Neurospora crassa OR74A: one gene and its partner. Each later gene encodes a partner of the first gene's protein in a complex. Links are inferred from orthologs where the notes say so. Each region holds a gene or a part of one and is shown on either strand. Other genes may lie near its edges.

Region 1 (4,066 bases):
TTCCTCTAAGCGATAAGACCTGTCGTTTCCACTTTAAATTTGCTTTATGGTACGCCGGCTTTACCCTATTGGAATAGGAGATTTGGATTTAGTTTAATGAGACGTAGGTAAATAGCGTTACTTAAAGCTGTTATTTCGTTACCCTTTTTAAGGATGAGAAGGTTAGCGACTTCGTTAAAATTAAAATTAGAGTTCGGGGATGGATATTTTAGATTTACTTTATAGGTAAAAAAAAGGGTACATTCCTCTTTTGGAATTATAAGGATTGGGGTACGATTACTAGCGATATTTACTAGAAGTATGTCTTCCCTTTTCTGCGGTAATTTTGGTAAGAGAATTCGTTTTTTGTCGTTATGTAAGACAATGCACTAGCTTATAGTTCGAAGTTAACGAAGGTATTTATAAAGGATGCTTTTGTTGGCGCTACTATTGTCGATTGGCCGCCCTACTCCCTTGATTTTAATTCTATTGAGAACGTTTGGGCCTTTATGAAGAGATGGATTGAGTGTGAATACCTAATTAGACTGATTGGGAATAGCTTTAAATTGGCTATCGAGAAGGCTTGGGAGGTTGTATTAGAGGACTACTTACTTTGCTTAGTATATTTAATGCCTAGAAGGCTTGAGGCGGTTATTAAGGCAAAAGGCGGGTATACCGACTATTGATTTGGCTGAGGTTACGGTTACAATTGTGGTATTTGAGAATCCCTGGTTTTAGTATGTGAAATTGATTGATTTACGGTAGCTTTGTTGTCCCTGTTCTTCCTGTGCGGGCCTCGTATGCGTAATTTGATTGGATTTATCCCTAGTCGCCTCCCTTGTCAAAACCCCTGTATGTACCGAGCTAACGAACTTTCCAGGGCTCAAGTGTACTATTCACACTACTTAGTACCTTCCCTTTCATACATGTTGCCGTTTTTGTGCGGCCAAGGGAGATGCTAAGCACTATCGTGTTGTAGTGTACACGACTAGGACACGAAGTACTGTTCAGTGCCGGTGCTATGATGTGCTTGATGCGGCTACTTCAGTTGTCATGATCGATATGATGGGAGCCCAAATGCGGCTAGTGATTTCCAACGCCACAATTTTCCACTGATGAAAGTTACCACCTGTAAGGCTCAGTGCAGTTGGTACGCGGTACGGTAAACTTAAGGCCCCGATGGTACGTACAAGCCACAGGTGATAGCCCTGCGCCCCACCTCCAAGCATGCAGTACCTTACGGAAAACACAATGTGAAAGTTTGGACAAATTGGGTCACTGCGTTGACTCATCATTGCAAGGTTTTGGTACCGCACGGCGGCCGAGGCAGGCGCATCATCAACCCCAGCTTTGAAGTTCAAACGCGCCGTTCTTGACATTGTGCAGCCCCACCTTTTTCCTTCTACCACAGTCTTCCCCGCGCTTCCCGATCCGCGGCCACTTACTCAACCAGGCCCTCGTCGACCCATTCCTGTAGAGTTCGAGCTGATAAATAGACTTCAGTTGGCAATGTCGGGCAAGCAAGTCAGCAAGGGCGGGGCTGCCAATAAGTCCAAAAAGCCCGCCAAGGGCGGCGCCGAGGAGAAGAGAGAAGATGCTCTCCAGGCCGTCATCCTCGCCGATTCTTTCCAAGATCGCTTTCAGCCTTTCGCGCTTGAAAAGCCCAGGGTAAATGCCTTCATGCTTCGTGCTAAATGCTTCGTGTCCCTTGTCCCTGGTGACCTCTGAGTACTGACGGCCTTCTCCTGACAGTGTCTCCTTCCGTTGGTCAACGTGCCCGTTATCGAATACACGCTCGAGTATCTAGCCTCCAACGGCGTCCAGGAGGTCTTCATCTACTGCGGCGCCCACTCCGAAGACGTCGAAACCTACATCCACGACTCTGACCGATGGAGCCCTGAAAGCAATCTCTGCCCCTTCTCTTCTGTCGACTTCATCCGCGTGTCCGACGCAAGCTCCATCGGTGACTTTTTGCGAGATCTTGACAAGCGCAGTCTTATCTCGGGTGACTTCATTCTGATTCATGGCGATGTTGTCGCAAACATCCCCCTCGATGGTATTCTGGCTAGGCACCGCGCAAGGAGAGAGGCCAACAGAGACGCCTGCATGACCATCGTCTTGCGCTCAACAGGAGACAGCCCTCACCGGACTGCAAAGGCCCGGGGCATTACTCCTGTCTTTGTTGTCGACCCCACCAACGGCCGTTGTCTGCAATATGAAGAGATGCACCCACTTCAGAAGGACAAGTATGTCAAGTTGGACGAGTCGGTATTCGAGTATGCTGAGTTCGACTTACGCACCGATCTGATCGATTGTGGCATCGATATTTGCACGCCAGATGTTTTGGCCTTGTGGTCCGAGAGCTTCGACTACGAGCTTCCCCGCAAGAACTTCCTTCACGGCGTACTGAAAGACTGGGAGCTCAACGGCAAGATCATCAGCGCCGAGATTCTTGAGGAAGGCTACGGGGCTCGCGCCAGCAACCTTCAGATGTATGATTGCATCAGCAAGGATATCCTCCACCGCTGGGCGCTACCGTATGTCCCCGATAGCAACCTTCTTCACGGACAAACTTACAAGTACAAACGGGGTCTGTGGTTAGAGGATGGCGCACACATCGCAAAAAACAGCACAGTAACCAAATCCGTACTAGGGAAGACCGCCTATGTCGACACCGGCAGCACAATCTCGAGCAGTATCATCGGAAGGAGGTGCCAGATCGGAAAGAACGTGAGGATAGAGAACAGCTATATCTGGGATGACGCGGTCATCGAAGACGGTGCTACTGTTCTGCATTCCATTGTAGCCAACGATGCAGTCATTGGTAAGCACAGCTACATTCCTCAAGGCTCTCTCATCTCCTACGGTGTGCGGATCAGCGCCGGAACACAACTCTCATCCAAACCCCTACCGAGAATATCCCTCTTTACCAGTGAAAGAGAGCCGGTCAAGACCGACATCAAACTGGTCGGAAACGATGGCAAGGGAGCCCAATATAAAGAGCCAGAAGACGACGAGGATAGTGACTCCGAGGATGAAGGCGATGCGGACCCCGCAGTTCTCCAAAGCTCTCTCATTTACTCTTTGGCTGGCCTCAACATTTCAAGCGAGTCCATCTCCACATTAGCGACCCATGACTCCGATGATGACCTCTCGGATGACGAGTACGAGCAAGGCCTCCAAGCCAAGACCAACCGGGAGCGCCTATCCTCCTTCGCGTCTGACGATTCCGCTGCCGCCGTCATGAAGCTCGACCAGTTTCATGGTGACGCTGTTCACGGACTTGTAGATGCCCTCCGTGCTGACGACAACGAGGATTTCGACTCTGCGAAGCTGGAGTTCATGGGTTTGAGACTGGCCAATAATGCTTCGGACAGCATGATGCGCAAGGCCATTGCCGTAGCCTTTGCCACTCGCGCCGCCGAGCTCATGAGTCCCGAAAACGGCGGTCTTGAGCCTACCAAGGCCGCTGGCCGGGCTCTTACGTCCAAGAAGGGTGCCGTCAAGTTCATTACAGAGGTTGGCGTCGGCGGAAACAAGGTCGATCTCCACGCTGAGTTTGCCCTCGCGTTGCAGAAAGCTTTGGCAGCCATTAAGGGGCTTGATTCTGCGCGCGCAGGAACGCTACTTGCCGCCATGCTGCAGCAGCTTTATAACTTGGACGTTCTCGAGGAGGAAGGTATTCTCGCCTGGTGGGCGGATGCCAGGGCTGCAGAGAATGATACACTCTCCAAGATCAAGGAGAGGAGTCGTGTGCTGGTCGAATGGCTGGAGAATGCAGATGAGGAGGATAGCAACGAAGACAGTGATGAAGAGGATGAGGATAGTGACTAGATGGGTTATCAATGGAAGTGCATGCTCAAGAGGGATGGATTATTTGGAAGAAGGAAGCAAGGGTGGAAGAACGAAAAGGGGGAGGTGTAGATGAACTTATACCCGCAGCACCTGCGACCTCGAGATATTGCTTGTGTTCTCTTTTTGGGAAGGGGAGAATGGATGGACGGGAAAATGAAGGAAAATTTGACATCCGCATACTCCTCGCTCTCAACACATCTTCCTTTGTATGAGCACGAATGCCTGTGATAAT
Region 2 (4,034 bases), on another chromosome or scaffold:
CTCCGCTTCAGCACCCCTGCTGCTTCAGACGATTTTACTTCCTCGCCTCTCAGTTGCCGCCGCGACTGCTACCATCCTCAACCAGACACGATGCCCATTCTCGACTCAAGGAGCGCTCCAGGTGAAATGGGGAAAACGAAAACCCGGTCAAGACGAGAAGAAGGACGCCGGCCTGCCCCGCGACCTGGCGATTAAAGAACCCTGGGTATACCTGCGCGGCCTCGACGGCAGGCTCACGGAGAAGCAACGGCCAGCGGACATTATCAACCGGCTGGATCGCATCCGATACAGCTTGGCGATGGTATGGGCGCCGCCTAAGCCCACGCCCGGCGAGCCCGAGCCTGAGAAAGACGAAAACCTGCCCGACTGGCCCGTGTGCGTCATCGTCGACCGCCGCGCCGAGGCCGCTGCTCTGCAGGCCAAGGCCAAGGAGGAACGCAGAAAGCAAGTGAGCAAGAAGGAGCTGGAGATCAACTGGGCAATTGCGGCGCACGACTTGGGATTCCGCACACGGCAGCTCCAGAATTTCTTGCGGAAGGGTCACAGGGTGGAAATCATGCTGCTGCAAAAGAAGGATAAGAAGCAGAAGAAGACGGCGACGCAGGAGGAGTGCCAGGAAGTGGTGCGCATGATTAGAGAGGCGGTTGCCGAGGTACCCAAGGTTCAGGAGGTGAAGCCGATGGATGGACAGGTTGGGAAGGTGGTGAGGATGGTTTTCCAAGGCCCTACGCCTAAGAAGAACAAGGAGGATGCAGCGGCTGAGGAGGAGGAGAAGGATGAGAAGGACGAATAAGCGCCGTTGGAGATGGCTAGCTTGTCGGAATACGAGGTTATATGTTGGTTTGCTTGGGTTGTTATAGAGGTCGTGCAAAGTGGGAGTATGGCGCTTTCAGCGTGCAGCTCTCAGTGCTATGTAAATATGTACAAGTATGGACCGGATCGATGTGTTACAATGCTAGATGGAGAACGGAACTCAGGTCCGACGTCTGCGTATTAATTAAAAGATAACAAACAGTTTACCGATCAAGCTGGAGGGTTGCGGGTGAGTCTCTAGCGGTGAGGCATTGACTTATAGCTGATCCGTGTGCTGTCTGCCATAGACATCTTGGGAGAGCGAGACTATATTGAATAAGTAGTATCTCAAAGTGAGGAGGCGGCTAATGAATTGTAACGAACTGGAGCAACAAGCTGAGTTCTTGAGTGACGTTGGCTAGGTTGGACGGAATCTGCGACTGGTGATTGGCTGGTATCTGACAAAAAGCGGAGCGCGGGGTGGTGTTTTTGGCGGTACGACCTCTTGGACGCATCCGTGACTCAGTTCTCAGAATCTGGCAGATGATCTTGCACTGAGCAGTTTGAGAGTTAGCATTGTGCTGACGCAACAAAACGGGAAAGAGGGAAAAAGGGACAACCATCGCTATCAGCACCCCCTGCGCATCGGTACAGTTATTTTGTATCTCAAAGCACAAACTGAGCTGTTCATTGTCTGTCACTCGAGTCCTCAGGTACTCGTCAACTCGCGACGCAATTTTTACTGCGCCCTTCACCCAATCGGATCCCATCTGATCTTTAAACAACAGTTGCGACACTTCGCCAAGCACATCGCATCTTCCACTTCATACAACAACAAATGGCTGTCGAAAACACCGGGGCTCCCGCTGGGGCTCCCGCACCACAGGAGAAGGGGAAGCAACAAGCTAAGTCCACTGTTGCCAACACACCAGCTACTACCGGAGGAGACGCCGCCGGCGAACAGAAGCTCACTCCCGCCCAGCTAAAAGCCAAGGCTAAGGCCGAGAAGGCAGCACGACGGGCAAAGGCAAAGGAAGTGAAGGAAGTCCCACCAGCGGCCGCAGTAGCAGATGCAAAGGGGGGCAAGAGCGGCAAGGGCGGCAAGCAGGAGGGTAGTCAGTCCGCGGGGTCTCAGCAACAGGGCAAATCTGTGCCCGGTCGCAGGCCGTCCGTGAACGGAAGGCGGCCTTCGGTTGCCATCATCAAGGAGGATCCGAGGAGTAGCATTCCCGAGTGCTTTAGCCATGTGGCCATGGCCAAGCGGATACAGACGTCGCAGGCGCACAAGGACGTGCACCCTGCCGTGCTGGCGGTCGGCCAGCAGATGGCTACTTTTGCGCTGAAGGATAGCATTGCCAGGCTGGAGGCGACCCTTTTGGCGTTCAAGAAGGTTGGCAACCTTGATCCCGGACTGTGTGGACTGGAGACTGACCAAACATACAATAGGTGATTGAGTCCTACGAAACACCAAAGGGAAACTCACTGTCACGCCACTTTGTCCCGCATGTCCTGAACCCCCAGATCGAGTATCTGACCGAATGCCGTCCCATGTCCTTCTCCATGGGTAACGCCATCCGCTTCCTCAAGTCCCAAGTCAACAAGTTCGACATCGACACGCCCGAGGACGAAGCAAAGGAGTCCCTCCTCGAGTTTATCGACATCTTTATCAACGAGCGCATCACCCTGGCCGAGGTGGTCATCTCCAAAAACGCTGCCGAGCTCATCGACGAGGACGGCGTCGTCCTCACGTACGGCCGCCACCGGCTGGTAGAGAAGACCATTCTGCGGGCCAAGGCCAACGGGAAAAGCTTTGCCGTGTCCGTCATTGATGACCCGTACGACCAGGGCGGCAAGGAGCTCGCCAAGACGCTACAGCAGGCCGGCATCCGCGTCTTCTACTCGCCCAACCTCGGCGGCGTGCGGGCGCACCTTGAGCGGGCGAGCAACGTGCTGCTCGGCACCGAGGCCATCTTCGCTAACGGATCTCTGCATGCCCCCGCGGGAACGGCGGACGTCGCCATGGCCGCTTCTGCCGCCAACGTCAAGGTGGTGGCCCTCTGCGAGACTATCAACTTTGACCGCGAGCGTGTGTCGGTGGACTCGCTCACCTACAACGAGATTGACCCCGAGCGATGCTCGGCTGAGTCGTTCCGGCTGATGTTTGATAACACACACAGCAAGTACATTGCGGGTGTGATTACCGAGTTTGAGAGCGGTACAGATTTCGCTCCGGCGCAGGCTATCTTGACGCTGTTAAGGAAGCGGGAGGATCCTACCATTGCTTAAACGGCAGAGTATAGGAGAGGGTGACGGTGAGATGAAGGAGATAGGCAGAAAACTGCAAGAGTTGTTAGCCGGTGGTGGCGCGCCAGCTAGGTCACAGAGCTAGAGTAGGTAAATAGAGATACCCGCATCTTAAACGGGGCTTACAACACGACCGCATAGTTTGCGGCGAAGCGAACCTGGGGCAAATAACCGAGGGAGAAGACGAAGGGAAAGGGAAAGGCAAAAACGGGAAGGGAGATCAGAGCATTGAATTCAAACGAACTCGACTGTCAAGACACTTCTTTCCCTGCTTGCTGTGTCTGCCTGTAGCATGTCTATCATGTGCTGACTTCTCTTCTTCAATAGCTGGGCGTGCCGTATAGGTCCTGTGGGTTCCCTTTCCTGCCCATCTATCTACCTGCCCTTGCGTCCCTCTTTCTCTCTTCCCCAGTGTACTGTGATTCCACGAGGTCCCACTCTCAGACTTCCCCATCCCATTTCGGCGTCCATCGATGTCGGTTATCCTTCTCCCTCGCCCCGTACCGTTTTACCGGGAACTTTGAGAATCCGTATCAGCCCTTTTAATGCGCCGCCGCCTCGGGTTCACCGTGGGCCTGCTCCTGCTGCCGCGCCGCCCTCCGCGCCCTCTTGTCGAGAATGGCCTGCTTGCGCTCCTGAAGTATAGCTTGCTGTCGCTCGTCCACTCCCTGAACCCAATAGCCGAAGCTGGCGCCAATGGCCGCGAAGACGGGGTAGCCCCAGAGGGTGTTCCTGCCGAGGATGGGTCGTCGCTCGATGCCCAATGACCAGGCGCGGGTAGCCAAGCCTGAAGGAGCAGAGTTGGAAGGCGGCAGTTAGCGATTATGATGTGGACATGAAGATGGAGAGAGGGGGAGAGAGAGAGTCAAGAGAGTAAGACAGATAGGCCAGGAATATGGGCGTTTGTGACAGCATGTGGAGTATCAATTGGTGGAGGA

Evidence for each region. Proteins that work in one complex are often made in the same cells at the same time.
Region 2: the proteins of NCU02414 (region 1) and NCU01468 are in contact, whole or in part, in a crystal structure (PDB 5B04), measured with the Schizosaccharomyces pombe proteins. The link is inferred for Neurospora crassa OR74A from reciprocal best matches to the Schizosaccharomyces pombe genes tif225 and tif224. Residues at the interface, in NP_594285.1 of Schizosaccharomyces pombe: Lys267, Glu268, Tyr308, Arg310, His311; in NP_594503.1 of Schizosaccharomyces pombe: Arg295, Tyr331, Ile332, Gln334, Glu335, Glu410, Lys412.

What each region holds. Positions count from the first base shown.
Region 1 is NC_026507.1:2,573,194-2,577,259, reverse strand, and holds the start of NCU02414 (translation initiation factor eif-2b epsilon subunit), read left to right. Parts: upstream 1-1,266; 5' UTR 1,267-1,488; coding exon 1,489-1,647; intron 1,648-1,731; coding exon 1,732-3,813; 3' UTR 3,814-4,066. UniProt on the Schizosaccharomyces pombe protein: Acts as a component of the translation initiation factor 2B (eIF2B) complex, which catalyzes the exchange of GDP for GTP on the eukaryotic initiation factor 2 (eIF2) complex gamma subunit.
Region 2 is NC_026505.1:4,638,657-4,642,690, forward strand, and holds NCU01468 (translation initiation factor eIF-2B subunit delta), read left to right. Parts: upstream 1-1,315; 5' UTR 1,316-1,630; coding exon 1,631-2,182; intron 2,183-2,238; coding exon 2,239-3,078; 3' UTR 3,079-3,533; downstream 3,534-4,034. Other genes in the region: NCU01469 (hypothetical protein), read left to right, coding at 1-793; nuo10.4 (NADH:ubiquinone oxidoreductase 10.4kD subunit), read right to left, coding at 3,639-3,883. UniProt on the Schizosaccharomyces pombe protein: Acts as a component of the translation initiation factor 2B (eIF2B) complex, which catalyzes the exchange of GDP for GTP on the eukaryotic initiation factor 2 (eIF2) complex gamma subunit.